Saccharomyces cerevisiae S288C: one gene and its partners. Changing the gene in region 1 together with any one later gene gives a genetic interaction. Each region holds a gene or a part of one and is shown on either strand. Other genes may lie near its edges.

Region 1 (7,552 bases):
ACTGACTGAATCATATTACTTAGTTACTACTACTCTTATCATGCAAGAAGATGTGAAAAAGCGTCTTCCCCCAAATCATATAACTTCTGCACCATCCGTGGACTGTACAGGTTCAGCGGGGGAATATGTAATTGCTTGTTAGGATTGCTCTTGGGACCGTAGTATCGCGACAAGGAAGTCTGTGTAGTTCCACTTGATGTGGGCTGCCTCGCCGCTTCTTTTGCAGTCCCTAACCTTATATAGATGCGCACGCGCCAAAGCATGAGGGTACTCCATCATGTCTGTTGCACAAATATCGTAGGTTACTTGACGCTAACGTCATGTTTGATGCTCCGTTAACGAAGAGAATCGGAGCTCTTCATCTTAATCAGGCTCTTTTATAGCTCAATCATCAGTGGAAAAAATTCTTCGAACTAGAAAAAAATCAAGAAGTGAAAAAACTAAAACCGCCAACTGGCTACCCGGATAAGCCCCATAATGGCGTTCCTAGGGCTAGAAGAATTTCAAATCGATGACAGCTGATAGAAAGCGCCAGAGATATGTAGCCTTCCATCAGTAGTAATATCCAATAAATTGGGCACCATGGTTTGGCAATCAGGCTTTTTACCCTCGCCCTCTTTTCCTTCGCCTTTTACCTCTTCTGCATCCAATTTCAGCGTACGTACACAATGATTGACTTTGGAAATTTTCACTTTTTTCCACTCGAAGAAAAAAAATTCCAAACACGGTTCTCCGGTATTTAGGCATCGAATAAACTTTGCTAATCGACTAAAAGCATCTCTGCATATCTATACGTGTATATATTGTATTCGCTACAGCTCGCTCCTTGCATCAACTCTTTTTTTCTTTTTTTTCTTCCAGGTTAATCAATTACTGTACTGTAGCTTCTTTTTTATATTTTTTAGGTTTTCATATAGTGTCTTACGCAAATAGGCGGACCATAGAATGACTGTCACCATAAAAGAATTGACTAACCACAACTACATTGACCACGAACTATCAGCCACTTTAGACTCAACGGATGCGTTCGAGGGTCCCGAGAAGTTGCTGGAAATCTGGTTCTTCCCTCACAAGAAGTCCATCACGACCGAAAAGACATTAAGAAATATTGGCATGGATAGATGGATCGAGATTTTGAAATTAGTGAAATGCGAAGTTCTTTCCATGAAGAAGACTAAAGAACTGGATGCCTTTTTGTTGAGTGAGTCTTCCCTCTTCGTCTTCGATCACAAATTGACGATGAAGACGTGCGGTACTACAACCACATTGTTCTGTCTCGAAAAGCTTTTCCAGATCGTTGAGCAAGAGTTATCGTGGGCTTTCCGCACAACACAAGGGGGCAAGTACAAACCATTTAAAGTGTTTTATTCTAGACGATGTTTCCTTTTCCCCTGTAAGCAAGCCGCTATCCATCAAAACTGGGCTGACGAAGTCGACTATTTGAACAAATTTTTCGACAATGGTAAAAGTTATTCCGTGGGAAGAAATGACAAGAGCAACCACTGGAACCTGTACGTCACCGAGACGGACCGCTCCACACCTAAGGGAAAGGAGTACATCGAGGATGACGACGAAACTTTCGAAGTACTGATGACGGAGCTGGACCCAGAATGCGCTAGTAAGTTTGTTTGCGGGCCTGAGGCATCCACAACCGCTCTCGTGGAGCCAAACGAAGATAAGGGCCACAACCTCGGCTACCAAATGACTAAAAATACAAGGCTTGACGAAATATATGTCAACTCGGCCCAAGACTCCGATTTATCATTTCACCACGATGCATTTGCGTTCACGCCATGTGGATACTCATCCAATATGATTCTCGCTGAAAAATACTATTACACCCTGCACGTGACTCCGGAAAAGGGTTGGTCTTACGCCTCTTTCGAAAGTAACATACCCGTATTTGACATTTCCCAAGGGAAGCAAGACAACTTGGACGTTCTTCTACATATTCTGAACGTTTTTCAACCAAGAGAGTTCTCGATGACCTTTTTTACCAAAAATTATCAGAACCAATCCTTCCAAAAACTACTAAGCATCAACGAGTCACTGCCCGACTACATCAAGTTAGACAAAATTGTTTATGATCTGGACGACTACCACCTTTTCTATATGAAATTGCAGAAGAAAATATGAAAAGCCGCCATTTGTGTCTCCTCATACTTACATAGAATAGCCCTCTTCTATTATCCTTCGCTTGCTTTCTAGCACTCATAACTAATGTAGTTTAACCCGCTTGTATATCTTCTACATCATTACCCCGCATGCTTTTTTTTTTCCTCTAGAGAAAACCGGCACAGATTGGCCGGACCCGGAACAGGAAAAATGGCCACTGAAAATTCCTGGCCAGACCACCCCTGAGCTAAGGGAGTTTAGCCGCTCAAGCTTTTATTTCCTCTGATGTAATATATCACACACCCAGACACGGTTGCCAAGGCCTCGACGGAAGGCCGCTTCAAGGGACGGGGCAGTGGCTATCAGAAATACCTTAATATCATCAATATTTTTCATCAATCGCAAGGTGTCAAACATCAATAAAGGATGATGCTCAAAGGTTTATGCCCGATGTTCTTCTAATCCCCTTTCTCTCCTAAAATAATCCTTTTTTTACTCTTCTTCTTTTCCCCTGTTTCCATTTTTGTCTTTTCTCACCCCTTATGGGACATCAATAATGCAAGTATGTTTATACATTTTTATATAAATGTATATATAAATGCCATTTCTTACACATAACCTCCATTCTTTGGTTAATTCTTTCTTCATTCTTTTTTTTTTCATTCTGAAAAGCCCTCCAAGCAAGCACGCTAATTTAATATCGATTTAAACATGAAAGTATCACAAGTTTTCATTTCTGCCATCTCTGTCTTCGGCCTCGCTACTAGCGTAAATGCTCAAAACGCATCCAACACCACGAGTAACGCTGCTCCTGCTTTGCACGCTCAAAATGGTCAACTACTAAACGCCGGAGTCGTCGGTGCTGCTGTTGGTGGTGCTTTGGCCTTTTTGATTTAGGAAAAACGCCGCTTACTGCCACGATGATGATACCCTATTGACGTTTCTGAAATGTATAATTTCTTTTCTCATCTTCCCCTTTGATATTCCATCTATAGGCCCCAGAGTAGTAAATTTGGTGCTTTAATTTTTTTTCTCTTCTTCCAGTTCGTCTCTATTTTTTCATTCCATTATATTTATTTATCAGTTTTACTTTCTCAAATATTCTTATATAACACTATTTCATCTACGTAACCGAAAATAAGTAGTTTAATAACGATAATAATCATAATTGTGATAAAAATATTTACATTTTTCTTACTTGTCGCCCGCTTCGTTTTTGTATAGAACGTACTGTATTAGTTGTCCGTTCTTTTCACGTCTGAAGAGGTCGATTTCTTGCAATTTAACATCAACGTGGTATTTTCCATTATATACAATCAAAGAATCATCGTCCAGTTCGATTTCGCCATGAAACCAAAGGTGTAATGCATGTGAGTCCCCCTGCAGTGGGTATTCGTACTTGAACGACCCGTATACCCTCTCCGGCGATATAATCTCAAATAAATCGGCTGTTTCCAAACCAATGCGGTTCAGTAAATCGTCGATGGTTCCCCGTATACTTATTGGCCGATGCGTTATCCTCCATTTGCAAACAAAGGGTATTCTATACCAAGTGTGCGAACTATCCCTTTTATCGTCTGGCTCCATTACAATACCAGTTACACATGGATCTTGATCTTCGCACCACATGCTGAATTCATTTAACGTGGGTGAATTGCCATCTTTATCAAGCAATGGTACTCCGTATTGTTCCTTGATCATGTCATGACCGGATAATATCTCTAAAACCCTTAATTTAGAAAGCTTCTGTACTTGGTTTACGTCAACCTTTTTCAAATCTCTGGTACTCAGTTTACGTATCTTGGATGATGGAAACAATGGTAAGAAACTTTGTTCCTTTAAATATATCACTCTATAGATTAGTGAGTATCCTAATATCACACCGAATATACCACCAAATATGGCGGACCATATTTGCTTTCGGCGCTTGTTTCGCTGATGTGTTATTGCTTGACCAATGCTTCTCAAGTCCTCTCCTTTTATGTTAGGACTGTGTCCCTCTTCAATTTCCCCCAACTTCGTCTGTTGCTGTTGATGTGGCGTCGTAAAAAAATGCTTGCCATCATGGACATGCCTTTTCGACTCTGTCAATGAATTTCTTTTAGTTGTAATGCTTTTATTCAAGGTATTCAACCTTACATGACAATAGGTAGGCGCCTGGGTAAATAAGCATATACTTCTCGCGGACAGTAGAGATGTGTTAGCATTACGTAGAATCGCAAACCGTATCATTACCCCTTTTTCCTTCTTCTTGCAATTGAATACAGGAAACAGTTGCTTTGTCTTATGTTCGCTGCCACTCTTCTTTGGTTTTAATGCTTTGTTTCTCTCCTGCACTTGAATTTTATTGCTCGGAAAATGCTTCTTGCATAACCCCCACATAATTGGGCTGATTAACGTGACGCTAAAAAAATACCAATAGCAGTCCCAAAAAAAAAAAAAAAAAGATTCACATATGTATTGATTTTACTTTACGAAATTCTTGACCTATTTATATCATAAACGAGTGCTTATATTTCCGATCCTACTATCGCTTAAAAATCTTAATGTAATAAGGATAGAAAGGAAATTTTTTAAAAACATACATAAAAGTTCCGTACATATGCCGTTCCCGCTAGTTAAAATGTTCAGATTATTCATCGTCACTGTCTCCTAGAACTACACGGAAGCGTTTCTGCCTTTTCGGTTGTGGGTCATCTAATTCTTCCGTGTTATCGTCATTGTTATCCTTGACATCGCTGGAGCCGGAATACGAAAGTGAACGATCTTCGGAATCAGAACTCGATTGTATCCGTGTAACCTCCTTCTGATCCTCATCAAGGCTATCACCACTTACAAAACCATCATCATTATGCTCGTAAAAGTCACTATCGCGATCTTCCTCTTCTGTAGCATGTCGCCGTTGCTCCTCTTCCTCATCATCAGTAATAATTACATGTCTGTTCTTGAGTGCAGACAATACCAAATTCCTCCTACTTCCATCTTCATCTTCGTCATCTTCATCATCCTCTATAAAATCTTTCAAATCGGAATCCATCTCCTCTTCTTCTTCCTCATCCTCTTCTTCGTCGTCTTCATCATCCACAGCATCCACAGCAATACTACGATTATGTGACCTGGCCCAACGGCCTAGTGGGATATGTTCTCGCATGGGCTCCTCTTCACTGCTATCATCGTCTTCAGAACTTACATCATCTCTATTAGCAAACGGATTGGTAGACGCAAATCGATTCTCTCTACGCCTACGCATGCTTTCCCGGATTTCATCCAACTCTCCTTCACTGTATTCTTCTTCATCAAATTCGTCGCGACCACCTGCGTAATTCCGTATTCTGGCATTGCAGTGGGGACAAACATTTCCGTCCTCTACTTCGTCTGGGTCTAATTCCCAATGACAATTACTACAACGTGTGATACCATCATCCGAGTCGTCGGCCACTGCCAATGCGCTATTCTTAAATACTTTGTCAAACAATGTGTCCTTTTCCTTGTCATTCTTGTAATCATTTTCCTCCTTGGTTTTAGTTGTTAAAAGTTTTTTAAAAGATTCATCATTCTGGTCCCTTAATTTCTCTAAAATGAATGATAGATACTGTTGCAACGTTGTATTCAATGCGGGAATGGTGGTAATATCAGATCTGCACTGCGGACAAGCCAATTCTTTTTGAGTATTGCTGGCAAACCAGGTGTTCAGACAACCATAGCAATAATTATGACCACAAGGTGTCATCATCGGTACAAACATATAATCGTGGCAGATGGAGCAAACTAACGATTCTATTATCTTATAAAGTATGGCGTCCTTGGTGCCATCGTTTTGGTGAAGTAAACGGTTGTGTAATTCGTCGCCCATTATTCTTATCAATATATTAAAACTTTCTGTCTGAGAAAAAACGCGATCGTTCGTTTTCTGAAAACTTAATGCTTAAAATAGAATATTATCAAATTCCTCATCGCAGTTGTATGCTAGAAGAGAGCTCATCTAAATTGTAGTGGACATAGGATAAAAAACGCCATTGTGTGAAATGGCCCGAAAAAAAAGTATTGGGTATTCAAAAATAACGACCCCAGTGAGGGTTGAACTCACGATCTTGCGATTAACAGTCGCACGCCTTAACCAACTTGGCCATGGAGTCTAATATTTTATGAAAGATCTAAATTTTAGAAACTTAATGATGCACAGTTCTCAATGCACAAGATTGTGAGAAATGGGAGAATTTTGAGACAATTGTTGAGATTCCATTATTAATAAAGGTTTAATATTAGGTATATAGAACATGTTAGAGGTGTTGGAATGAAACTTTAAAATATCATCTTTTTAGTAGTATTCGTGTTACTAGTATATTATCACATGCAGTGTAAGAAGATAACATAAAGATTGGGAAACAGTTAGATTGATTGAAGCGAAATGCAAGGACTAATAATGTAATAGGATAATGAAATGTATAAAACGGAATTGGGAATATTCGTAATATTAGTATGTAGAAATATAGATTCCTTTTTGAGGATTCCTATATCCTCGAGGAAAATTTCTATTATAATCTGTATACATAATATTATAGCCTTCACCAACAATGGAATGACAACAATTATCAAATTATTCACCCAGTATTCAAGAGGTTTTCCACAAGGATATAGGAATCCATAAAAAGGCATCAGTATTATTATTACCATTTCTTATTCATTTACACGCCGTTATTCACTATTATTGAATAATCAATCATTGCATTTTTCAGCTTCCATTACATCTGATGCTATTTCTTAACCTTTATGGTTGCCTCTTATTCAACAAAATTAAAAGGATGAGGATAGAGAGTTAACTGGTTTTAATTTTTGTAGATGTAATGTATCCTCTTACAATTTACATTTGTTAACTCTAGGACATTATTAGGCTAATAAAATCATAACAAAAAGAAAAAAAAAACAAACGAAACAAAGTATTTTTTGTATGCCATGAACCATCTGCATTAATTACTTTAAAGCCAATAAGGACACTAATTAAACGAAAAAATAGGTATACTACTAAGAGATAGGTGAATAATTTGGTAATTATTCAGATGAAACTCTAGAGTGTCATCCATTTAGTAATATTCGTGATACTAGTATATTATCAAATACATTGTAATCATAATCATCATCATCATCATCATCATCATCATCATCATCGTCATCATCATTATTATTATTACTATTCTTTTTATTCTTCCCATTTTTATGTGCAGGCCCTTATTATCTTATTACAATATTTATCCTTGCATTTAGCTTTCATATGAATCTAATGACTGTTTCTTAGTCTTTATGTCATCTTGTCACGTCTTATATGATAATATAATAGTAATATAAATACCAGTCAATAGATATTCGTTAATTGAAAGGGGAGCATCAAACAATTGTGACCAATTAATTCTATATATTTACAAACTTTTACTGTTGTATT
Region 2 (8,436 bases), on another chromosome or scaffold:
CAAAGGCTTATGCTTGAAATTCAGAACATCTTGTTGAACCATTTGTTTGCCAACATCTATGGGTTTCTCATTTTCATTGAACAGCTTTATTGGTAAAACACGATCGAAATGGACACTTTTACTTCTTTGCAATAGCCTAGTATCTACATGATCTAAATTGACATGTTTACTCTTAGAGCCAGTTTTGTTGAATATAGATTTGGGAGTAATGGGTAGGGACTTGGATCTTCTTTTTAATGAACTCTTAACCAGTTCTCCAGATTTCTTGTAAATGGGAGGTGAAGGATTACCATTTTCCTCGGATTCATACTGGAAATTATCATGTGATAGAGGAGAGATTTCGTCTTCCTCCTCGCCTAATTTACTGACGTCTTGATGATGTGCGTTAAAGTTCGCTCCAGAATTTATAAACGGGTGATGGGCATGAACTTGTTTCCCATTAAAATACATTCCCTTATTCATGTCCGTATTTCTTTGAAGCTCGTCCTGAGGTAATCTGTGCAGTTTTACATTAGATAGTCTCCTGGGCTTGTGCAAAAACTCCAGAGAGTTCAGCCTGGCAGGGTGCATGTGCATGCTCATACCAGCAAAAGTTCTTATATTCGCATTTATGTTTCCATAGTTATTGTTGTGGGCACTGTTATTAGGAAGATTTAAAGGTTCATCCATCAGTATATTTTGTGGTTGCGTGGTGGTGGCCATACGGATAAAAGCAATAATACTAGCTAGCTATATTATCTTTTTTTATTTATTATTAAGCTATTACCAAAGCTGGCGCCTCAACTGTTGGGTTCTTGTCTATTTTATGTATATTCTATATTTCAAGGATTACGGAATCGATAAGTATTCTATTATGTAATCGCCTTTATATACAATGGCCGTGCGCGTTTATATAATAAAGTACCTTCGCCCTTTGGATTTATTAGTACTGTTGAGGGAACAATATTGCAGATTATGGATCTTGTACGACATTTTATGCGTACGCCCTCTTCATCATCGCCGTCAATATAATAAGCTTTATCTTCAGTCCCCCCCTTGACATCCCCCTTAGCGTGGGAAGGGCTCCGTGGGGGAGTAATAGCATCTAATGGTCAAGAGTTTTATCGAGACGAAAAAGAGGAAGGAAAAAAACTGAAGATGGAAAAGGCTAGTGATACGCTAGCGATTTATTTTTTTCCTGGAAATAAAATAAATGTAAAATGCTATTATGTATTTTTCATTATATATGTAAGCATATATATTCGAGGTACTACGGATGTTTTTGACCAAGAAAAGACCACACACAGGTCCTAATCATTGAGATCGAATTTGTACATTTTTACGCACCCAAATTCATCACCACTAAAGCATTCTGAATCTCCAATACAAACACAAGCGATAGGGGCGACTTTATCACCCAAGGATTGTGTTTGTGTGTGCTGAGTTTCTCTTTGTAGTCTTCGACCGTTGAACGTGTGCATACACTTCCCGCTTTGCAAGTCCCAGACCTTAATGCTTCCGTCGTGAGAACCACTTATAATTCTGAAGTTGTCAGCGGCGATGTCCCAAACACCTTCCACGTGCCCAAACTGTGTTCTTATGCATTTACCGGTTTTGACGTCCCATAGTTTGATTGTGTTATCCAGTCCGCAAGATAGTAGATGTGTTGGATAAGGTATGTTTTCATCTAAGACAGTTTCTTGCTCGTTCGACGGTGTGTCTGATTCGTCTGCACCATCAGTCATTGTTGGGTCATCCTGCGGAGAGCTGCCATCAGAAGTGTTGTCGGTGGCTAGATTCTCTACATCCTTAATGGTAAGCGGTATGATCTTTTGCACCTGCCCTACATGACCCCTGAACACTTTTAGGCATGAATTGGTCCTGATATCCCACATTCGGATTGTGGTATCGTCACTGCAACTAAAACATGAAAAGCTTTTCGGATGCAATTTGACGCAATTAACCCATTCCGTGTGGCCTCTCAAGGTGTAGCATGTCCTGGACTCCACGTGCCATACCTTGACCGTCTTGTCAGCACTGCCGGAAACGATAACCTTCTGGTATGAATCTACGCTCAGAACGCTATCCGAGTGGCCTCGATACGTGGAAATGCATTCACCGGTTATGTAGTTCCAAACACGGATCGTCTTGTCGAGCGAGCCCGTAATCAGCTTTCTATCGTCAAAATATAATGTCTTGACGCCGTCCGAATGGCCGCTGAGCCTTCGTATTAGCTTCCCCGTGAATAAGTCCCATATACCTATGGTGGAGTCGTACGAGCCTGTGAACAAAAGCCTGTAGTTAAACTGGAGCGTTAACACACCATCCATGTGGCCCTTGAATTCCTGAATCCTGCAGTGGCCCTTTCTCCAGTTTGACTCCACTTTGAACCGTTCTCTGTAGATGACTTTCCAAGGTCGCGTAGTTTGCGTCTGGATATCTGCGTTGCTGCTAGATCCTGTACTATTCTGTTGTATCCGCGCACGTTTCATGTGCAAAAGAGGCAGCCCCCAGCCACAGTTGGGACATTTCCTGTCTATGTGCTGCTCGCACATGTGGTACCATACCCTGTCGTCATCCGCGAGCTTCTGCCACTTGCGGCACACTCTCGTGGCGTTGCAAAGAGATTGGCAATCCAGATAACTCAAGATCTTCAGCGACAGCTCCTGCGGCAGAATGCTGATGAAGTCGATCTTGATCATGTGTGTAACGAGTGACGAAATGTAGGAAAGCTGTGGGAAGCAACTCGTCGATAGGATCCCATCCAGAATCAGCTTCCGTATCTTGTCATTGGAATTGCTGTACTTCGAGATAATGTGGTGGATGTCGGATTGCTCCTGCAGGGGTAGCTTCGCGATATTAGCATTAATCTCTTGCGTTCGTTTCAAATCCTGCTTGTAGCACGCTGTATGAGTTGGTGAGAACTGAATGTCCGGGTTATGCCGATAGCAGAACTTGGTGAAGTTATATTCTGGCAATGGCTGTACCCTAGTGCCGCTGTCGTTTGTCGCCAAATCGGGTGATGACGATGGCGACCTCGTCGCCATCGTCATCTTCTTCTTACCCGATGATCCTTGTGCCAAATCATCGCTACTGCCCGTAATAAGCAATCTCTTTAATGGTGGCATCATCGCCGTATCTGTCATTTCACTGCTGTTATTACTATTACTATTGTCAAGGTCGTCCTTGTCCTTGTCCTCGAAACTCATCATCCTTTGCCTCTCTCTCCTCATGCCCTTCTCCTTTATAAATCACCAAACACACACCCCTTTACCGATACTCAAGCCTCTTCTCTAAACTTCTTTAACTGCAGTCTTCTCTTACGATACAGACTGCAAGGTTGCTTTCTTCTTACGCTGATGAAAAAAAATAAAATATCTCCGCGCAAACTGTGGCTTCCCGATCACGTGCTACAACCTCATTTCTACATTAAAACACACACATTGTACCACACACGCCAACACACATATACACGCACAATCACTCCCACACATATACAAACACACGACATATGAATATATATAGTACACGCGCCAATCCATTAGTTTTTTTTTTGGGATACAGACGCACATCATGGCTTCTTGCCCGTTTAGTGCAATACAATAGCCTTGTGTTGCCGTGCCACACCCTGCAGTTATCTCTCCCAGATCTGTCTTTCCATCCCCTTAGTTGCTATCGCTGCAGCCATTTGTTCAAAATCGTTATCACCATCATTCATCATCACTTATCATTATCATGCACATGCTGCCAGCCGCTGCGGCTGGCTATGTGTTGGTAGTCATCGAGTCGGAAGCCCATCATCGGTGTGGGTGTGAGGCATTTCTAGAACGGATTTTGGGTGCCGTTTGTCACGTGGGACGGGATGCGGTTTTATTTGACGCAAGTTCCATGAACATCATCGCACGGTTTCGCAACAGTTTGGGACTGTACATGTACAAGATGGGTTTTCTCCTTTGCTTTTTTGTTTTGTTTTGTTTGATTTGATGGTTGGTAGTTATTTTTTTTTTTTTTTTAATTCAGTTGGCAGCAATGGAAGGGCTTTACCATAGCACCGTATCAGATGAAGTTTGCTGACCATCTAACCGAGTCTGCCATCCCGGAATGGAGGGACAAATATATTGATTATAAGGTCGGCAAGAAGAAGCTTCGCCGCTACAAGGAGAAGCTGGATGCCGAAGAAGAGCAATCCAGCTCCTACCGGAGCTGGATGCCCTCTGTGTCGGTATACCAGACTGCATTTCAGCAGAGAGAGCCCGGCAAAAGTCGCAGCGACGGAGACTATCGCTCCGGACCTGCGTTCAAGAAGGACTATTCTGCTTTGCAGAGGGAGTTCGTTGCTGACTTCATTGAAGACTGGTTGATCTCGTTCCAGTTGAGTAAGTGTAACGAGTTTTACCTTTGGTTGCTAAAGGAGTGCGACAAGAAGTTTGAGGTTTTACAGTCGCAACTGCACTATTACTCGCTGCAGAAGAATTATGAGCGCGACAACTTGAACCGGTCTAGTTCGAATGTTGACATGTCCACGAGTCTATATGCGGCAGGGCTTGCTGGTCGTTCTGACTCCAGGGTCAATAGCATCGACAGCGATAGCCGGTCTGTTATGTATGGGTCAATGCCCTGCACCAAAGAGGCCAAGAAGCCGCGTTTGTCGCTGCTAGCGTACTGTCAGAAAGTTCTTAAGGACAATAGGCTGCTGCCATCGTGGCCCAAACGTGGATTTTCTCTGCTACAGGACTTGAGACAGGATGCGTCCTCAAGAGGCCGCGAGACGTTTGCTTTTGGCGCTTCTTTTCTGGAGACTATGACGACAACCCAGGCTAGAAACTTGTTAAGCAACGCTATAATCGAGTACTATCTGTACTTGCAATTGGTCAAATCGTTCCGGGATATCAACGTCACCGGGTTCCGTAAAATGGTCAAGAAATTCGACAAAACGTGTCACACAAGAGAGCTGACCACGTTCATGTCGTACGCCAGGACCCACTACACCCTTTTCAAGCACGCGGATGCCAACGTGCAGTTGGTGGCACAGAAGATGCAACAAATAACCAGTTCGCAACCAACACCCACTTCGGAGCTCTCTTCCGCCCAAAGAGACAAAGAGCCCATCACTTGGTTGGAAACGCAGATCACCGAGTGGTTCACCACTGCGTTGACCAATTCGCCTAAGGACAGGAAGCACAATACCCATAAGTTGAAGAAATTGACCATTCAGTACTCTATCTCCGAACAAATGGTTCATAGAAACAACAGATCGATTGTGCAGATGCTGGTTGTCGGGCTGGGCATAGGTGTGTCAATGACTTTGATCACTTACACTTTGTATTTGGGCATTAGCTCTGAAGAAACGTCATTTACGCACAAGATTCTGTTCCCACTGTGGGGTGGTTGGTACATGGTTTTGTTGATCGCGTTTCTCTTTCTTGTTAATTGTTTTATCTGGCATAGAACCGGGATTAATTATAGATTTATTATGCTGGGTGAGATTCAATCCAAGAATGGTACGCAATTTTTCAACAATGATTTTGCCACGAGTAAAATTCCGCTCAAGTTGTATTTCTTGACATTCTTCATAGTACCTTGTGCGGTCTGTTCCATGTTAAGTTTCGCTTTGGAGAAGCTCACACCCTTAGGCTTTTTATATATTGGTATTGTGTCTTTCTTATTTTTATGTCCCTCTGGTCTAATTCCATATTGGGACAAAGTTGTACACACTAGAAAATGGCTGGTGGTTACTCTTATTAGACTGATGATGTCTGGTTTTTTCCCTGTTGAGTTTGGTGATTTCTTTTTGGGAGATATTATTTGTTCGTTGACGTATTCTATTGCCGATATTGCCATGTTCTTCTGTGTTTACTCTCATACGCCCAACAATCTATGTGGCTCTTCACATTCCAGAGCAATGGGTGTTTTATCATGTTTACCAAGTTATTGGAGATTCATGCAATGTTTACGAAGATTTGCTGATTCCGGTGATTGGTTCCCTCATCTTTTGAACGCGGCGAAATACACTTTGGGTATAGCGTATAATGCCACACTTTGTGCTTACAGATTGTCAGACCGTTCTGAACAAAGGAGAACCCCTTTTATCGTGTGCGCTACGTTGAATTCGATCCTTACTTCCGCCTGGGATTTAGTTATGGATTGGTCCTTTGCTCACAATACTACTTCTTACAATTGGTTGCTAAGAGACGACTTGTATTTAGCTGGTAAAAAAAATTGGGAAAACGGCAGTTATTCATTCAGTAGGAAGTTAGTTTATTACTTTGCTATGATTTGGGATATCCTCATTAGATTTGAGTGGATTGTATACGCAATTGCTCCTCAAACAATTCAGCAGAGTGCTGTGACGTCGTTTATATTGGCCCTTTTGGAGGTTTTAAGAAGATTCGTTTGGATCATCTTCAGAGTCGAAAATGAACATGTTGCCAATGTTCACCTATTCAGGGTTACCGGTGACGCTCCTCTGCCTTATCCAATTGCGCAGGTCGGTGATGATTCTATGGATAGTAGTGATTTGGGTTCAAAAGCCTTTTCATCACTTAACGACATACCTATCACGCCTTCACATGACAATAATCCTCACAGTTTTGCCGAACCTATGCCCGCTTACCGTGGGACTTTCAGAAGAAGGTCCTCCGTGTTTGAGAACATTTCGAGATCCATTCCTTGGGCACATGCAACTGATTTCCAAAGACCAACTGTCAATACCGTGGATGATAGGTCTCCCGAAACAGATAGTGAAAGTGAAGTGGAAAGTATTATGTGATTTGGGCTGGACATGATATTTGCTATTGTTAACCTGCTAAAGATGCTTATTTGAGGAAGTACAAAGAAAAGAAAATAAAAAGTAAAAGAAAAAAAATGTAACAAAATAATATTATGCATAATCTATATCTTCTTTGTAAAAATAAGAATTTATATTTTGAAATATGATAGATTTTTTTAAGATAATCCGTTGAAGCAACAAGAAAAATCCAAACCAATTGAATTATGGAGTGGCAAACTCTTGCACTTTTGCATAACTTGGAGGATGTAGCCTTCTATAAATTGCCTTTGCCGTCCAGACAGGAAAGATCGAGATGAGTAATATAACTAAAAGTCCAGCATAGTAATTTACGGTAGTCATATAACCTAAATCAAAATAATCGCCAAGAAATGGAACCGATACAATGTAAAATAGTAAAGTAGCAATTTCAGTGACGAGCATTGTTTTATTCCATGTGTAGATTTCTAAGGCAACCATTATTAATTCATTTACAACCAAAGCAGTGAAGCTGATAGCAACCATCCTTGTGAAATCAGTATCTAATAAACTCGTAAAGGCCTGAGAAAATAATTGAATTACAGAACCTTGGAATAGCGATAATAGAACCCAAACAAAGAACGTCTTATATGATAAGCTCTTACCTTCAGTCAATTCTTTGTACAATTCTGGGTATATTTTAGTCAATGACTCTTCGATATCGTGATCAAGAGTTAATGAAAAGACTGGAGCCATTGTATAGCAGGTAGCATAACCGACCATTAACCAACCTTGATAAAGAGCAATAGGTTCGAACAACGAACAGATGGAATATACCGCTTGGCAAATTGCAATGATTAAACCTCTATGCATGACAAATTGAGCCAATTTAGCAGATCTTTTGTAAGAGTTCCTACCATGCCATAATAGTAATTCGGTGAGGTGACAAAATTGCGTTATAGAAAAATCAGCAGCTAAAGAAGCTTGTTTACCTTCTTTACCCACAATCCCTACGCCAACATCTGCACATTGAATCATACTAACATCGTTACCTCCATCACCAATACAGCATACCCTTTTGCCCGTCATTTTACGAATTACCAAAGCAACGTCTGCCTTCTGTTGAGGTGTACAACGGCAAGCAATAACAGTGGGTAAATGAACCACGACATCAAAAAATTCCTGTTCGTAATGTTTCAAAAACATTCCCAGGGATTCACCATCTATTAAAAGACAAGCATTTCTATTGATTTTTAGATACTCCAGCTGATTGAATGCACCTTCCGGTCTTGTGACTTTTGTTATCGTATGAACATATTGGCCACGAGATATTAATTTTGCACTTATGGAAACACAACGAGCAGTTTCAACTTTATCACCTGTCAGCATCCAAATCTTGATACCTGCGTTTCTTAATAACTCGATAGAGGACTTCACATCCTTCTGTAACTTATCTTCTACACCAGTTAGACCCAATAATTCAAGATCATGCTCTAAATACTTGGTGATAACTTGACTCATCTGTTGATCACGATTTAGCATTGACAAAGAGGCATCGTTGTATTCTTTTTGAAATTGCTCGTAAATTTTCTTGTTTAATTTTTTACGACCGATAACCAAAGTACGTAGACCTTCACGAGCCATATTACCTGTTTCTTCCTCTAGCCAATCATTGCTTTCCACAATTTTTGACATGACAGTATCGGCCCCTT
Region 3 (7,834 bases), on another chromosome or scaffold:
TACTTTATGGAATTATCAAAAAAATTAACTACAGAAAATATCAGGTTAAGTCAAGAAATAACACAACTAAAAGCAGATATGAACTCCGTAGGCAATGTTTGTAACCAAATTTTGCTGTTGCAGAGACAATTGCTTTCAGGAAATCAGGCGATCGGATCAAAGTCCGAAAATATTGTGTCTTCCACAGGTGGGGGGATATTAATACTAGATAAAAATAGCATCAATTCGAACGTACTGAGTAATTTGGTTCAGTCGATAGATCCTAATCACTCCAAGCCCAACGGACAAGCCCAAACACATCAAAGGGGTCCGAAAGGACAATCACATGCACAGGTTCAAAGTACTAATAGCCCTGCGCTAGCGCCAATTAACATGTTCCCGAGCTTAAGTAATTCTATACAGCCGATGCTTGGCACCTTGGCTCCGCAACCGCAAGATATAGTACAGAAGAGGAAGCTACCGTTACCAGGTTCAATAGCCTCTGCAGCAACAGGCAGTCCTTTTTCTCCATCACCCGTTGGTGAGTCTCCCTATAGCAAACGCTTTAAACTAGACGATAAACCAACTCCGTCTCAGACGGCTCTTGATTCCTTACTTACAAAATCCATTTCAAGCCCTAGATTACCCCTTTCGACGTTGGCTAACACAGCTGTCACGGAATCTTTTCGCTCACCTCAGCAGTTTCAGCATTCTCCAGATTTTGTAGTTGGTGGTAGCTCAAGTTCAACAACGGAAAATAACTCTAAGAAGGTAAATGAAGATTCTCCATCATCTTCTTCAAAACTAGCTGAACGACCTCGTCTTCCAAACAACGACTCCACTACTAGCATGCCTGAAAGTCCCACCGAGGTAGCTGGTGATGATGTTGATAGGGAGAAACCGCCAGAGTCAAGTAAGTCGGAGCCCAATGATAACAGCCCAGAATCGAAAGATCCTGAGAAAAATGGTAAAAACAGTAATCCGCTTGGTACGGATGCTGACAAACCAGTACCAATTTCTAATATTCATAATTCTACTGAGGCTGCAAATTCAAGTGGTACAGTGACAAAGACAGCTCCATCATTTCCGCAGAGTTCTTCTAAGTTTGAAATTATAAATAAAAAGGATACGAAGGCGGGGCCAAACGAGGCAATCAAATACAAGCTGTCCAGAGAAAATAAAACAATATGGGACCTATATGCGGAGTGGTATATTGGTCTGAACGGTAAATCTTCAATAAAAAAATTGATTGAAAATTATGGCTGGCGAAGGTGGAAGGTTAGCGAAGATTCACATTTTTTTCCTACTAGAAGAATTATTATGGATTATATTGAAACGGAATGTGATCGTGGCATAAAACTCGGCAGGTTTACTAATCCTCAACAACCGAGGGAGGATATACGGAAGATTTTAGTAGGGGACCTAGAAAAGTTCAGGATAAATAACGGTCTGACTCTGAATTCTCTATCATTGTACTTTAGAAATTTAACGAAAAATAACAAGGAAATTTGTATTTTTGAAAACTTTAAAAATTGGAACGTTAGATCAATGACAGAAGAAGAGAAATTAAAGTATTGCAAAAGGCGACATAATACACCATCTTAAGTTTATTGAGGTTGTCCGCGACAATAGTTCCTTCAACAAAATAACGAAGCGACGATAACGAGAAATGTCATTAGGTTATTACTACCTTTATAGAAAATATATATACTTATTTAATATTTATATAGATTTATGTGTGTACATACCTATGCGGATGTATGCCTATGTGGGAATTCCTAAATGTCTTTCCATCAACGACTAAATATATATTCTCATGACTGACTATATGGGTTACGAAAACTTAATTTTTTTGTCAAAGACCCTGGCGAATTGAGAAAACCCGCTGGATAGATGGGCTATCCGAAATTTTGAAAGATGGAAAAAACATTAATCTCATTAGCAAAAGAGGTAAGACCCTGGGTGAAGAAAAGTCCGAGGAGGGAACACAAAAAAGTCTAGGATAATGGCACATGAAAAGTTTAGTATACCTGAGAACTTCACATTAGCGCAGTCTTTGCAATTGCTTTACTCTGTTGTCAAAAATCAATATAAAAACCTAGCAGACCTAATAATCAATAGCAAAGGTAATAAGGACACAGTAACGTATGGGAAAATCCACAAAAACTTAGACACTTTACTGGTATACGTCAATGAAGGTCTACGAAAAATTGAAAAGACTTATACCTTAAAGAAAGGGTTAGGAAATCTTGTAGTTGATCATCCTGAATTGAGGAGCATCATTGAGGATTTCCAAATTCTTGGCCAGGATATAAGGATCGCACGTCGTAAAGCAGAAACGCTTATGGCCGAAGGAAACGGTAGTCCCTCTTTGTCATCCTCCTCTTCCGTTTTGGGCCTTGGGACAGGAAATGGTTTGCGTTTTCCAAAACTTTGGAGAATGGGTTCCAAAAGAGATAAATTGAAAGAAGCTGACGAAAAGGAGGCTAAAATCAACAAACAGGCTGATAATATCAGACGTGCTAGGAAATTAGAAGAAGAGAAAAAGTTAGGAGCAAAACTTCAGTATGAGAGGGACTTAGAACTTCAAAGGGAAAAATTGATCGAGTTAAAGGTTAAAGAAAAGGTCGAATTTGAAGTGGCCCAAAAGTTGGAGGAGGAGAGAGTTAAGAGAGAGGAAGAAGAACGCAAACATAGAGAACAAGCGGAGAAAAAACGTATATCAACCCTGAAACATGAGAGGAAAACAAATTACAAATCAAGGGCTAGCCTCGACAACTTCTCTTCCAGTAGCAAATCTTCTGGAAAGATTGACAACTCCCTAATTAAAAGAAGATCACTTGACGTTGTACGGACTTCAGGCGAAAGAGTACGAACGCCAGTAAGAAAATCAATGGAGGCAGCAGAAATAGGTATGGCTGCGCAGTTAGCCTGGTCTCAGTATCAAAACGGGGCAAATCATTCAAAAGTGAGTAACAACGGATCGCATTCAAATGAACTTCAGATACGTTATAAGCCAACACCACCTTTGAAAAAAAGGTATGACTACAAAAAGCCAACAGTTAATCGACCGATTATAAAATCACCTACTCTTAACAGGCAAAACAGCAAGTCTTCACGGAATATACCCACAAATAGCAAGCTGAAGGCTAGTAAATCCAATACTAACAAAGTTTCTCGTAGGAATGAGCAAAATTTGGAGCCTAGTTCACCAGTACTCGTTTCAGCGACAGCGGTACCTGCTGAATCCAAACCCATGCGTTCTAAAAGTGGTACACCCGATAAGGAAAGCTCTGCTAGTTCATCCCTCGATTCCAGAAAGGAGGATATATTAAAATCAGTGCAGGGAGTAGATCGAAACGCTTGTGAACAGATACTTAATGAAATTCTTGTTACGGATGAAAAAGTTTATTGGGAGGATATCGCAGGCTTACGGAATGCGAAGAATTCTTTGAAAGAAGCAGTGGTTTACCCATTTCTGCGGCCTGACTTATTCAAAGGGCTAAGAGAACCTGTTAGAGGTATGCTTTTGTTCGGCCCACCAGGTACAGGTAAGACAATGATTGCTAAGGCGGTTGCGACAGAGTCCAATTCCACATTTTTTAGTGTAAGTGCATCTTCTTTGCTATCGAAATACCTCGGTGAATCTGAGAAGCTGGTTAGAGCATTGTTTTACATGGCCAAAAAATTGTCACCCTCAATTATTTTCATAGATGAGATTGACTCTATGTTAACAGCTCGCTCTGATAATGAAAATGAGTCCTCGAGGAGAATTAAAACAGAACTTCTTATTCAGTGGTCCTCCCTATCTAGTGCTACTGCACAATCGGAAGACCGAAATAATACGCTTGACAGCAGAGTACTTGTCTTAGGAGCAACGAATTTGCCATGGGCGATTGATGATGCAGCAAGAAGACGATTTTCACGGAAACTATACATTCCTTTACCAGATTATGAAACTAGACTATATCATTTGAAGAGATTAATGGCCAAGCAGAAAAATAGCCTGCAAGATTTAGACTATGAATTAATAACAGAAATGACCGAGGGGTTTTCTGGTTCTGATCTTACGTCATTAGCCAAAGAAGCGGCAATGGAACCTATTAGAGATTTAGGAGATAAGTTGATGTTTGCGGATTTTGATAAAATCAGAGGAATTGAAATAAAAGATTTTCAGAATGCTCTGTTGACAATAAAAAAGAGCGTGTCGTCAGAATCTCTACAAAAATATGAGGAGTGGTCTAGTAAATTCGGTAGTAATGGTTCCTGAACGAGAGGGAGCGTCTTAATGGCAAAGAAAGGTATGAGAAGGAATTTTCCCCTTTCAACTTCTTGCTTCTGATCTAATTTTATTACCTATGTACTTTCTATGTATTATCAAAGAAAAACTAACTTCGGTTCCCTTATGATTTGATATTTTTCTTTCTTATTTACAATTAGTTTTCTCAGAACGATATTCAATACAGTTCTCCGGATTTTTGCTTACTATATTGGCCCCAAAAAAATGAAATAAAAAAAGAAAACAAAATAATATACTTGGGTGAAATAAAAAAAATAAATCAATAGCACCCAGTTAACCTAGATTCAAAGTTTCTTCTTCAATCTCAATTTATATACACGTTTGAGTTAATGGGAAAGCAAAGTCCAGCTATAAAACACTTGACCGTTAGCGCCATACCCTCCAACAACTAATTGGACCTTCTCCTTCTGCCCAAACAGTATATGCAAGGTACAGCAGTTACTACAAGCACAATATGTCTTGGATAAAAAATGTAACAGAATCTCCGACTTCACTGATTAAAAAAGTTTCATGTGGTTTGATAATTGCTGCTTCTCTATATGCCATTGCACCCAGCCTAAGTGCGCTAGTCTTTGGGGATTCTAAGCAGAGTATTGGGAAGTACACGACAGTGGGCTTAATTAATCGTGGGAATGATTGCTTCATAACATCATCTTTGCAAGGCCTGGCTGGAATACCTCGATTTGTAGAATATTTGAAACGGATAAGAACGGTCCTTCTAGAATTAGAAACTAAGCTGTCAAATAATGCAAAAGGCGACAATCCTACAGTTGATAACACTACAAGGCATAGTCGACTTGAAAACTCGTCTAATTCACTTGCCCCCTTACACGAAAGTCTTACCAGTTTAATTTTGGATTTGATATCTGTAAAAGATCGTAAGACGTCAATTTCTCCGAAAATAGTGATAAACACATTAGAGTCCATCTTTAAATCAAAGATCTCATCCAAACAAAATGATGCACATGAATTTACATTAATATTACTACAAACATTACAGGAAGAACGATCAAAATTGATCGATTACAGTAAACAGATATGTAATTTGAATATACCAAAGTTTCCATTTGAGGGCGAGACTTCCAAGTTTCTAGTATGCCTTAAATGCAAGGGTCTATCAGAACCATCATACAAACAGACTTTCATCCGCGAACTGTCCGTACCACAACAAACATCAGAGAATCTATCCAATATTCTAGCACACGATGAAACAGAAATCATAGACGACTATTCATGCCTGATCTGCCAAATAAGAGCAATCTTAAACCATGAAGAATATAGAAATTTCAAGGACTGTACCCCGGATGAAATTTTAATGTTGGACAGATTGAAAAATTATGCCACTAAAGCCCCAATTAACGAAAATTTACCATTCGAAGTAGAACAGTACGTCAAGCGTTACTCAAAGGGCAATTTGCAGGTATCTAATATAAAGGGAAAGGTCATCAAAAAAGATGTAGTAGTACAACTGCCAGACATATTAATTGTTCACTTATCGAGATCCACATTCAATGGTATTACATATTCTAGAAATCCCTGCAATGTCAAATTTGGAGAAAGAATAACACTTTCTGAATATACATTGGCTGAGAGTGGGACAATAACAGAAAACAGGCAAGTCAAATATAATTTGAAAAGTGTTGTGAAACACACCGGTTCTCATTCGAGTGGACACTATATGTGTTACAGACGCAAGACTGAAATTCGTTTCGGGAAGGAGGATGAATCTTCCTTCAGAAGAGCACCAGTTGTCAACAATGAAGTTAACAAGAATCGCGAGCAAAACGTTGCACATAATGATTACAAAAAAAGCAGATATAAAAAAGTCAAAAACGCCCTGCGGTATCCTTATTGGCAAATATCTGATACCGCCATAAAGGAATCTACCGCTTCAACTGTCTTGAATGAACAGAAATATGCTTATATGCTATACTACGAACGTGTAAATAAATAACCGCCCTGTACATAGGTATATTATAATAATAGTAAGTTACGCATCCATATCCACATCAGTATCCACTGCCATCATTTCAACATCGGTATCAGCCTCTCCATCATAAGTGTATTTCGAAGTCATTTGATTATGGAACCACTTCCACCAGCTTAGATAAGCAATTTCCTTATAATCTACCCATTTTATTATTTGTAGCCTTTTTTCTCTCAAACGTTCCCATATTTTGTCATAAAACAAGTCATTGTCGCCGCGTTTACTTGTGGAACACTTGATGATCTCTTTCAGGACCTTATCATCAATAGCGTCTGTGAATACTATATTGTTATGAATAAGATTGTTATCATCTGCATGTCCGTTCTTGGGCCCTTTATCATTTAAGGATAAATTCTCTAAATCTATAATTAGTCTTTTTCTTTTATAATTATCAATTCCTATTGGGTCTGGAGAATGATTTCTTTTCCTAATGTGGTTGGGATTGCCATTACTTCTTGCAAACCGGGAACTCATGGAATGAAAAAGTCATTTAAACGTGCCACTAGTTTTACTATCTGCTAATCGTTCTAGACGTGTAATATAAATCATATCCGAGCGCCGTTGTTGAATAATTTAATGCCTTCGTATTACATACATTTTGAAATTTGCTTTCGTAAAAGAGCGGTTCCCGGATAAAAAAGTGTGCAAATAACCGAGCCTTATTTGATTTCCAGTAAAGACCCAACCAAACGCATCATTGAAGCAAAAATAGATTAAAACTTACTGTTGTTCGTCTATTGAATTTTGTTCGGATTGGTGTGGTGTTTAATATCTTGGGCAGAAAGAGAATTGGCTTTATAGACACTCATAAAATCATCATTCCCCTTAGAGCAAAAGGTATTTTTAGAAGCCAAGAAGAAGAGCAGATAAAAAAGAAGTACGCCCTCTAACAATAAAAGTCAAATGGCTAGACAATTATTCACTCCTCCGATAACCAATCCAAGGTTTGACCCTAATCAATCCATCAGGGAATCATACAAGAACACAACTGGCGGCATGCAATTTCAACAAAATCTACATGAGGATCAAAATGACAATGAGAGAAGTAGCTGTGATGGTGATGAAAACTCTACAACAGGAGAAAGGCTAGAAAACAATAAGTCTCCTATATTGACAAAACAAGAAATTGACGAAGCGTTGAACACTGTCACCAATTTACCTCCAGAATTATCAAAATTAATTGACATTTTTATTGATGACCTAAAGCAGCCAAAGTACGTACGGCCACTATCAGTACTGCAATTGTCTAGTCTTTTCCAAAGCTTTTACATAAAATTTGATAAAGCATCATTCCAGCACGTCAGTTCAGCGAATAATAATGGCTATTATTTTTCTGGCGGGGGCTCTAGTTCATTCTTGGCTGCCAAAGAAACGTTAAGTAGTGGTCTTAGCGGAATTTTTGGCAGAAGTAGGAGTAGTAGTGGAAATTCACTTATGAGGCCAAGAAGATCTTCATCGCTTTTCAGTAATGAGTCAATATCAAATTCAACTAATGCCACACAAATGTTGTCACCTGAAGAGATAAAAAAGCAATTGAAAATCAACGAATTAAACAACATGAAAATCGA
Region 4 (8,213 bases), on another chromosome or scaffold:
TTTGAAGCACTACTATTACAAAATTTATTCCAGCCCAACATTCAGTTTGGAAGCATCAAACGGCCTTCGACCATATGAAGATATTCCAGTAAATATGGTCTCCAAGCAGTTCAACTACTTTTCATGAATGTAGCATTTTCAAGGCACCTCTAACAATAAAAAAAACGACACCAGCAGGATTTGAACCAGCGCGGGCAGAGCCCAACAGATTTCAAGTCTGTCGCCTTAACCACTCGGCCATAGTGCCTATCATTATGAATTTCCCAAAAAAGAACCACTATCAGAGACATATAAAAATAAGAACACATCCACCGATATCTGTTACAATGAAACCCTAAAATATCATCCATTTGGGGTAGTATTCATGCTACCAGTATATCCTGTATGCGTAATATTATAGCCTTTTCCAACAGTGCACCCAAATATAATCACAAATCACCCAATTCTCAAATTCACTTGTTAAAATGAAAATACCAAAGCCTCATCATACCGTTCTATTGTCCATCTCCAACACAAAAGTACCATAATAATTTTCCGATTCGACACGAATACAGATAGATGGGCACATGGCAAACTTAGCTCAGTATGGGCTTGTAGGTTGTAAACGAGTCAGAAATTTCAACAATAAAAAATACATCAGATAGTGTTTCGATGTTCTTAATTACACGTGAATTATCAAAAACCATCAACATACCAGCCAACATCAGTGTAGGTGGAATAAAACTTTCTTACCATGTACAGTAAATGGACCATGACGCCGTGCACAAGCTTATGCATAATGAGCTAAGCGGGAAGACATTTTCAAACTACGTGATAGTTCCGACTGCCCTTTCAATTGCTAATGTAGCAATATGTTAGGAATGCAATATTCCAAAATGCTGTCTGTGTCAGTGAGAATAACAAAAACATTGAATAAACTTTTCTATGGTAATAACCACGCCAGATAAGGGCGTTGCCATCGTTTTCATTTTTTTTTTTTTTTCAAATGGTGGGGTCACCGTTGTGAAAAGAAACCTTTGATTCTCAACCATATCGGTACTCGGACTAATCACTTAAATCTTTCCAAGGGATTATCGAGAATGTCATAGTGCAAAATAATCTTAGCTTTCAATAATTTTTTCATTTGGAGTCACACTCCCGTTAAAACCTAGTCAACGGCTTCCACTTAAAGCTATCAACAAGGGGCAATTGATTTTGCATTTTCGTCTAAATGAAAGTTGCAGCCAGCAATTTACCCGAAGTTTAAATAAATCAATGCAAACCATGTTCAACTTAAACAGCAATCGCTTTCTATTACCTTGGAATTATATCAGAACGTCTATCTGCGAAGCTTTAATAAAGTACTGGAAGTTGTGTCTGAAATGTCTGTTTTGGTAAATTTGTTTGATCCTGATTATACACCTCAAAGGACCACGTTAAGTGGCCATATGACGAGTGTTATTGCGTGCTTGCAAGTTGAAGATAATTATGTCATTACAGGAGGATGTGATAAAACGATCAGAGTTTATAACTTAGTAAATAAAAGATTTCTTTTACAACTATCAGGTCATGATGGTGAGGTTTGGGCATTGAAGTATGCCCATGGCGGTATTTTAGTCAGCGGTTCTACAGGCAGAACGGTGCGAGTTTGAGATATTAAGAAAGGTTGTTGTACCCATGTGTTTAAAGGTCATAACTCTACGGTGAGGTGCCTAGATATAGTAGAATATAAAAATATCAAGTACATTGTTACTGGTTCGAGAGATAACACTTTGCACGTTTGGAAATTGCCCAAGGAGTCCTCCGTTCCTGATCATGGGGAAGAACATGATTATCCATTAGTCTTTCATACCCCTGAGGAGAACCCATATTTTGTTGGTGTTTTAAGAGGACATACGGCGACTGTAAGAACTGTCTCAGGCCACGGTAATATTGCCATTAGTGGCTCCTATGATAATACATTGATTGTGTGGGATGTTGCGCAAATGAAATGTCTATATATCTTGAGTGGACATACGGATCGTATTTATTCGACAATCTACGATCATGAAAGAAAAAGGTGCATCTCTGCCAGTATGGATACCACTATTAGAATTTGGGATTTGGAAAATATAAGGAATAATGGAGAATGTTCCTACGCAACAAATTCAGCATCGCCATGCGCCAAAATACTTGGTGCTATGTACACTTTGCGGGGTCACAGAGCCCTAGTCGGTTTATTGGGATTATCCGATAAATTTTTAGTCAGTGCTTCTGTAGACGGTTCAATAAGGTGTTGGGACGCTAACACTTACTTTCTGAAGCACTTTTTCGATCACACGCAGTTGAATACAATCACCGCATTGCACGTTTCTGATGAGGTATTAGTGAGTGGATCTGAAGGTTTGCTCAATATTTATGATTTAAATAGTGGGCTGTTAGTCCGTTCAGATACATTGAGTGGTGCTGATAATGTTTGGAACGTTAGTTTTAAGGACAACACACTTGTGGCAGCGGTAGAACGAGACAAGCGAAATCTTTTAGAAATTTTGGACTTTAGTTGAAGATTGATGTGAGAATGATGCAGAACTTACCTTGTCACGTTTGGAACTCAGTTGTACTTTTTCGGTGTAAACAAATATAAAACTTTAGAATTTACATTAATAAGTTATGTGCTATTTATTAGTTTAATATATCAACATTAATTACATGCGAGCTATGTATTATTAGCTCAATCAGCAGGACTAAAATCGAGGAAAAAGTAATTTTGTTTATGCCCAGTTCAGTTATCGTCCATTTGTAGCAAATGTGGTACAAGTTGACCCATATTTTCATGCATTGGGCCATGCAGTAATTATCACACTCACTTTGTCATAATGTATACAATGGCCGCTTATTTGCGACTCGTCTCATATTTTTCCTGAAACTGTAGCTGTGTGTAATATTATTCATTAACTTCGATAATTCGGCTACAGAAGACAAGAGCTACATCCTTACTGGTGCGAATAAATGACATAATCTGTCAAGAGTACCGAAGTAAAAGCAACGATTGCCGAACACATCTTCCTGAAGTATCATATGCCAATACAAGGTTTCAATAGGAATTATGAAAGCGGCATTATCACCCTTAATCTGAAATATGTAATGATGACGGTGCAGTATGTTGACTACATTGTAAAGTTGCACTTTCACTCAACTCATGAAATTGATGACATTAATCCTACGTGACTTACACATATGCCATGAACGAAGAAGGTGGCACCAAAAATCCAGCGTTTCCGATATACACGCAGTCAAATGTTCAGACTAAACTTTGGTATTCTGACAACGTGTTGTCATACCTGTTACGAGCCAGAAACGTATTTCTTTTTGGGTGATACAATCTCCAGATGACTGCTTTTTTTTTTTTTACCCCAGATTCAGGGGCCGAAGGAACGGAAATGCGGTGTGGCGAGATTGCGGATGTGCTAAAAAATAATATCCTCGAGGCAACCAGCATAATGTGGACGGCTCTCGGCAATTGACTTCCATAACAAATGCATCCTGTAATCAGGGGTATTATAAGTTACTGTATGGTTAATTAAATATAGAATGAAAGGGGCAGCGTTCTTAAGGGGTATTGCTGGGTGGAAAAATACAAGTGTCTTTACTTGATTGTGTGCACATATATAAGGCAAAAGATTTCTAGCGTATATTTGAATCTTTTGTTCTTCCACGTTCAAATTTCTTTGGTCAAAACATTTCATAAAGGGACAAGTTCTGCATTGTATTCTAATAATTGCCCATAGAACATATAAATTAGGTATCGACTGTTTTCGTCTCCACTTTAAATGACAAAGAAGGATAAGAAGGAAGTAAAAGTTCAAACGGTTACCACGGAGGATGGTGAAACCGTGAAAGTTTTTGAAGACCTGCAGGGTTTTGAAACTTTCATTGCCAATGAAACTGAAGATGATGATTTCGATCATTTGCACTGTAAATTAAATTACTACCCACCATTTGTGCTACACGAGTCGCACGAGGACCCTGAAAAAATTAGTGATGCTGCAAATTCTCATTCTAAGAAGTTCGTGCGTCACCTGCACCAGCATATTGAAAAGCATCTTTTGAAAGATATTAAGCAAGCCGTTAGGAAACCTGAGCTTAAATTTCACGAAAAATCGAAGGAAGAGACATTTGATAAAATCACCTGGCATTACGGTGAGGAAACTGAATACCATGGTAGACCTTTCAAGATAGACGTTCAAGTAGTTTGCACACATGAAGATGCTATGGTATTTGTCGATTACAAAACACATCCTGTAGGCGCAAATTAAAGGTTGTGTCATAGAGAATGTGTTAGTACTGAATCCTAACCTCCCAAATTCATAAGTAGTTTTATGTACCTTTAATGATTTACGATTAGCAACTTTTTGAATTTTTTTTATTGAAATGTTGAGCCCGAAGACGTGAAACGCTATAAAGTAGTATCACTGTTACGCCGCGAAACCTGATAATGTATTGTTAAACTACTACCTGGTCGATGATTATATCGACGCTTCTAAAATGAATGCTATTACCCGAACTTCCACTTGATTGCCGTCTCTTCCCGGGTAACATTGTAAGTGTGAATATGATTTTTTTTTTTGCTTTCTCTTTTCAAAATTTCCGAAAAGCATATCAAGACGTGTACTACATACAGTAAAAGCCCTCCTAGGGTTTTCAGTAGTGGTTCGAATAGTATAGATTACTGCTTTTGTTACTCTGCAACAATCCCAAAACTTAATAAAAAGTACAAAAGACCAAATAAAAGTATCGTATATAATCCAGTCATAATGATGAATCCACACGTTCAAGAAAATTTGCAAGCAATCCACAACGCCTTAAGCAATTTTGATACGTCATTTTTATCGGAGGATGAAGAAGATTATTGCCCTCTTTGTATTGAACCAATGGATATTACTGATAAAAATTTTTTTCCTTGTCCCTGTGGTTATCAAATTTGTCAATTTTGCTACAATAATATCAGACAAAATCCAGAATTAAATGGCCGTTGCCCAGCATGTCGTCGTAAATATGATGACGAGAACGTCAGATACGTCACATTATCTCCGGAGGAGTTAAAAATGGAGAGAGCCAAGCTCGCTAGGAAGGAGAAAGAAAGAAAGCATAGAGAAAAAGAACGTAAAGAGAATGAATATACGAATAGGAAACATTTATCTGGTACCAGAGTTATCCAAAAGAATTTAGTGTACGTTGTTGGCATCAATCCTCCTGTTCCATACGAGGAAGTTGCGCCCACTCTGAAATCTGAAAAATATTTTGGCCAATATGGTAAGATAAATAAGATTGTGGTTAATAGAAAAACACCCCATTCTAACAACACAACCAGCGAGCATTATCACCATCATTCACCAGGATATGGCGTTTACATAACCTTCGGATCCAAGGACGATGCTGCAAGATGTATAGCTCAGGTAGACGGGACGTATATGGATGGCCGCCTGATCAAAGCTGCCTACGGTACTACTAAATACTGTTCTTCTTATTTAAGAGGATTGCCATGCCCAAATCCCAACTGTATGTTTTTGCATGAACCTGGTGAAGAAGCTGATTCTTTTAATAAAAGAGAACTCCACAATAAACAACAAGCGCAACAGCAAAGTGGCGGAACTGCATTCACTAGATCTGGAATACACAACAATATATCTACCAGTACCGCTGGTTCAAATACCAATTTACTAAGTGAAAATTTCACAGGCACACCTTCACCGGCGGCGATGAGGGCTCAGTTACATCATGACAGCCATACAAACGCTGGAACACCGGTATTAACACCTGCTCCGGTCCCTGCAGGGTCAAATCCTTGGGGAGTTACTCAATCAGCAACACCTGTAACCTCTATCAATCTCTCTAAAAACAGCAGCTCCATAAACTTGCCAACATTAAATGATTCTCTGGGCCATCATACTACCCCCACAACAGAGAATACCATCACAAGTACGACAACTACTACCAATACCAATGCTACAAGTCACTCCCATGGTAGCAAGAAGAAGCAATCTCTTGCTGCAGAGGAATACAAAGATCCTTATGACGCACTAGGGAATGCTGTTGACTTTTTGGATGCAAGACTACATTCTCTATCAAATTATCAGAAGCGCCCTATATCTATCAAATCCAATATTATTGACGAAGAAACTTATAAAAAGTATCCGTCTTTGTTTTCTTGGGACAAGATTGAGGCCTCAAAGAAAAGTGACAATACATTAGCCAACAAACTTGTGGAGATCCTGGCTATAAAGCCAATAGACTACACTGCTTCTGTCGTTCAATTCTTGCAGAGTGTCAATGTTGGTGTAAATGACAATATTACAATCACAGATAATACGAAAACTCCCACCCAACCAATAAGACTGCAAACCGTCTCACAGCAAATCCAACCACCATTAAACGTCAGTACCCCTCCACCGGGTATCTTTGGTCCACAACATAAGGTTCCTATTCAGCAGCAACAAATGGGTGATACAAGCTCAAGAAATTCCTCTGATTTACTAAATCAACTAATCAACGGAAGGAAAATTATCGCCGGTAATTAATCCGACTCTAAATATTTTTCTTGTTTGCATTAACCATAATTTTATCTATTTTTATTTCTCATGAATATATAATCTCTCCGTTTATAACGAAATGCAAGAAAAAAAAATCTCACCCATTTTTTTAAACCTTTGACGTGGAAAGGTATCTGGGAAAGGTATCTGGCTAATGAATAATGCCATAGCATATACCAGTATAGTCTATTTACTCGTTACAACGTATGAAAGCGTCAGCGCTGCAAGAATGACTAATTCATAGAAAATAATCATCATGATATATATCATAATGCACGGAACCTGCTTCGCTAATTTTTTCACTTAAATCACATTTTTTCAACGAAATCTCTTGCGCAGTTGGTTGGAATTCTTATCCGAATGACTCAGTCTACATCAAAAAACTGTGGCCGAATGGTGGTAATTGATGACTCTTCTATTTTTTTTTTTCATATAAAGAGCTTGCGCGCGTGTTGTTGTTCGCTATCCATTTCCATTAGGAACATTTTTGGATATTATTTTTCAGACCCGTAATATACTTAACACATATACCACTAAAGGCAAAAGAAAGAGAGATCTGAAGTGAGAAATAAGTCTGCATCATTATGCCATCTGCTAGCTTACTCGTCTCGACAAAGAGACTTAACGCTTCCAAATTCCAAAAATTTGTGTCTTCATTAAACAAATCCACCATAGCAGGATTTGCATCTGTACCCTTGAGAGCTCCACCATCCGTTGCATTTACGAGAAAGAAAGTCGGATACTCAAAGAGGTATGTTTCATCTACTAACGGCTTTTCAGCTACTAGATCCACTGTGATCCAACTGTTGAACAATATCAGCACAAAAAGAGAGGTTGAACAATATTTGAAATATTTCACTTCCGTCTCACAACAACAATTTGCTGTGATCAAGGTGGGTGGTGCCATTATCAGCGACAATCTACACGAACTCGCTTCCTGCTTGGCATTTTTGTATCATGTTGGTCTATATCCAATAGTTTTACATGGTACCGGTCCTCAGGTTAATGGAAGGCTAGAAGCGCAGGGAATTGAGCCAGACTATATTGATGGTATTAGAATCACGGATGAGCACACAATGGCCGTAGTTAGAAAATGTTTTTTGGAACAAAATCTTAAGCTAGTTACTGCATTAGAACAGCTAGGGGTCCGTGCAAGACCCATTACTTCTGGTGTTTTTACTGCTGACTATTTGGATAAGGACAAATACAAGCTAGTGGGCAATATTAAAAGTGTCACAAAAGAGCCAATTGAAGCATCTATTAAGGCAGGTGCCCTACCAATCTTGACCTCTTTAGCCGAAACTGCTTCTGGTCAAATGTTGAACGTCAACGCCGACGTAGCTGCTGGTGAATTAGCCCGTGTTTTTGAGCCTTTGAAGATCGTTTACCTGAATGAGAAAGGGGGTATTATCAATGGCTCCACGGGAGAAAAAATTTCGATGATCAATTTGGATGAAGAGTATGACGATTTAATGAAGCAAAGTTGGGTGAAGTATGGTACCAAATTAAAAATTAGAGAAATTAAAGAGCTTTTGGACTATCTTCCTCGTTCTTCTTCAGTTGCAATCATTAACGTTCAAGATCTACAAAAAGAACTGTTCACTGATTCTGGTGCGGGTACTATGATCAGGAGAGGTTACAAATTAGTGAAGAGATCCTCCATTG

What was found.
Region 2: of PSH1 (region 1) and MET30, changing one enhances a phenotype caused by changing the other (phenotypic enhancement), as found in Saccharomyces cerevisiae (one study listed by BioGRID).
Region 3: mutations in PSH1 (region 1) and YTA6 together harm fitness more than expected from each alone (negative genetic interaction), as found in Saccharomyces cerevisiae (2 studies listed by BioGRID).
Region 4: mutations in PSH1 (region 1) and MOT2 are lethal when combined (synthetic lethality), as found in Saccharomyces cerevisiae (one study listed by BioGRID).

The regions. Positions count from the first base shown.
Region 1 is NC_001147.6:227,030-234,581, reverse strand, and holds PSH1 (ubiquitin-protein ligase PSH1), read right to left. Parts: upstream 5,969-7,552; coding exon 4,748-5,968; downstream 1-4,747. Other genes in the region: adenosylmethionine decarboxylase SPE2, read left to right, coding at 946-2,136; DDR2 (Ddr2p), read left to right, coding at 2,827-3,012; AIM39 (Aim39p), read right to left, coding at 3,310-4,497.
Region 2 is NC_001141.2:263,427-271,862, reverse strand, and holds MET30 (ubiquitin-binding SDF ubiquitin ligase complex subunit MET30), read right to left. Parts: upstream 3,213-8,436; coding exon 1,290-3,212; downstream 1-1,289. Other genes in the region: putative protein phosphatase regulator PIG2, read right to left, coding at 1-702; YIL046W-A (uncharacterized protein), read right to left, coding at 3,390-3,554; SYG1 (Syg1p), read left to right, coding at 4,040-6,748; aminophospholipid-translocating P4-type ATPase NEO1, read right to left, coding at 6,971-8,436. UniProt on the Saccharomyces cerevisiae protein: Substrate-recognition component of the SCF(Met30) complex, an E3 ubiquitin ligase complex that mediates the ubiquitination and subsequent proteasomal degradation of target proteins. Negatively regulates sulfur amino acids biosynthesis genes expression.
Region 3 is NC_001148.4:413,779-421,612, forward strand, and holds YTA6 (putative AAA family ATPase YTA6), read left to right. Parts: upstream 1-1,984; coding exon 1,985-4,249; downstream 4,250-7,834. Other genes in the region: transcription regulator GCR1, read left to right, coding at 1-1,584; putative ubiquitin-specific protease UBP16, read left to right, coding at 4,734-6,233; YPL071C (uncharacterized protein), read right to left, coding at 6,270-6,740; guanine nucleotide exchange factor MUK1, read left to right, coding at 7,170-7,834.
Region 4 is NC_001137.3:288,278-296,490, forward strand, and holds MOT2 (CCR4-NOT core ubiquitin-protein ligase subunit MOT2), read left to right. Parts: upstream 1-4,772; coding exon 4,773-6,536; downstream 6,537-8,213. Other genes in the region: RRT13 (Rrt13p), read left to right, coding at 1,965-2,522; RGI1 (Rgi1p), read left to right, coding at 3,789-4,274; ARG56 (bifunctional acetylglutamate kinase/N-acetyl-gamma-glutamyl-phosphate reductase), read left to right, coding at 7,133-8,213. UniProt on the Saccharomyces cerevisiae protein: E3 ubiquitin-protein ligase component of the CCR4-NOT core complex, which in the nucleus seems to be a general transcription factor, and in the cytoplasm the major mRNA deadenylase involved in mRNA turnover.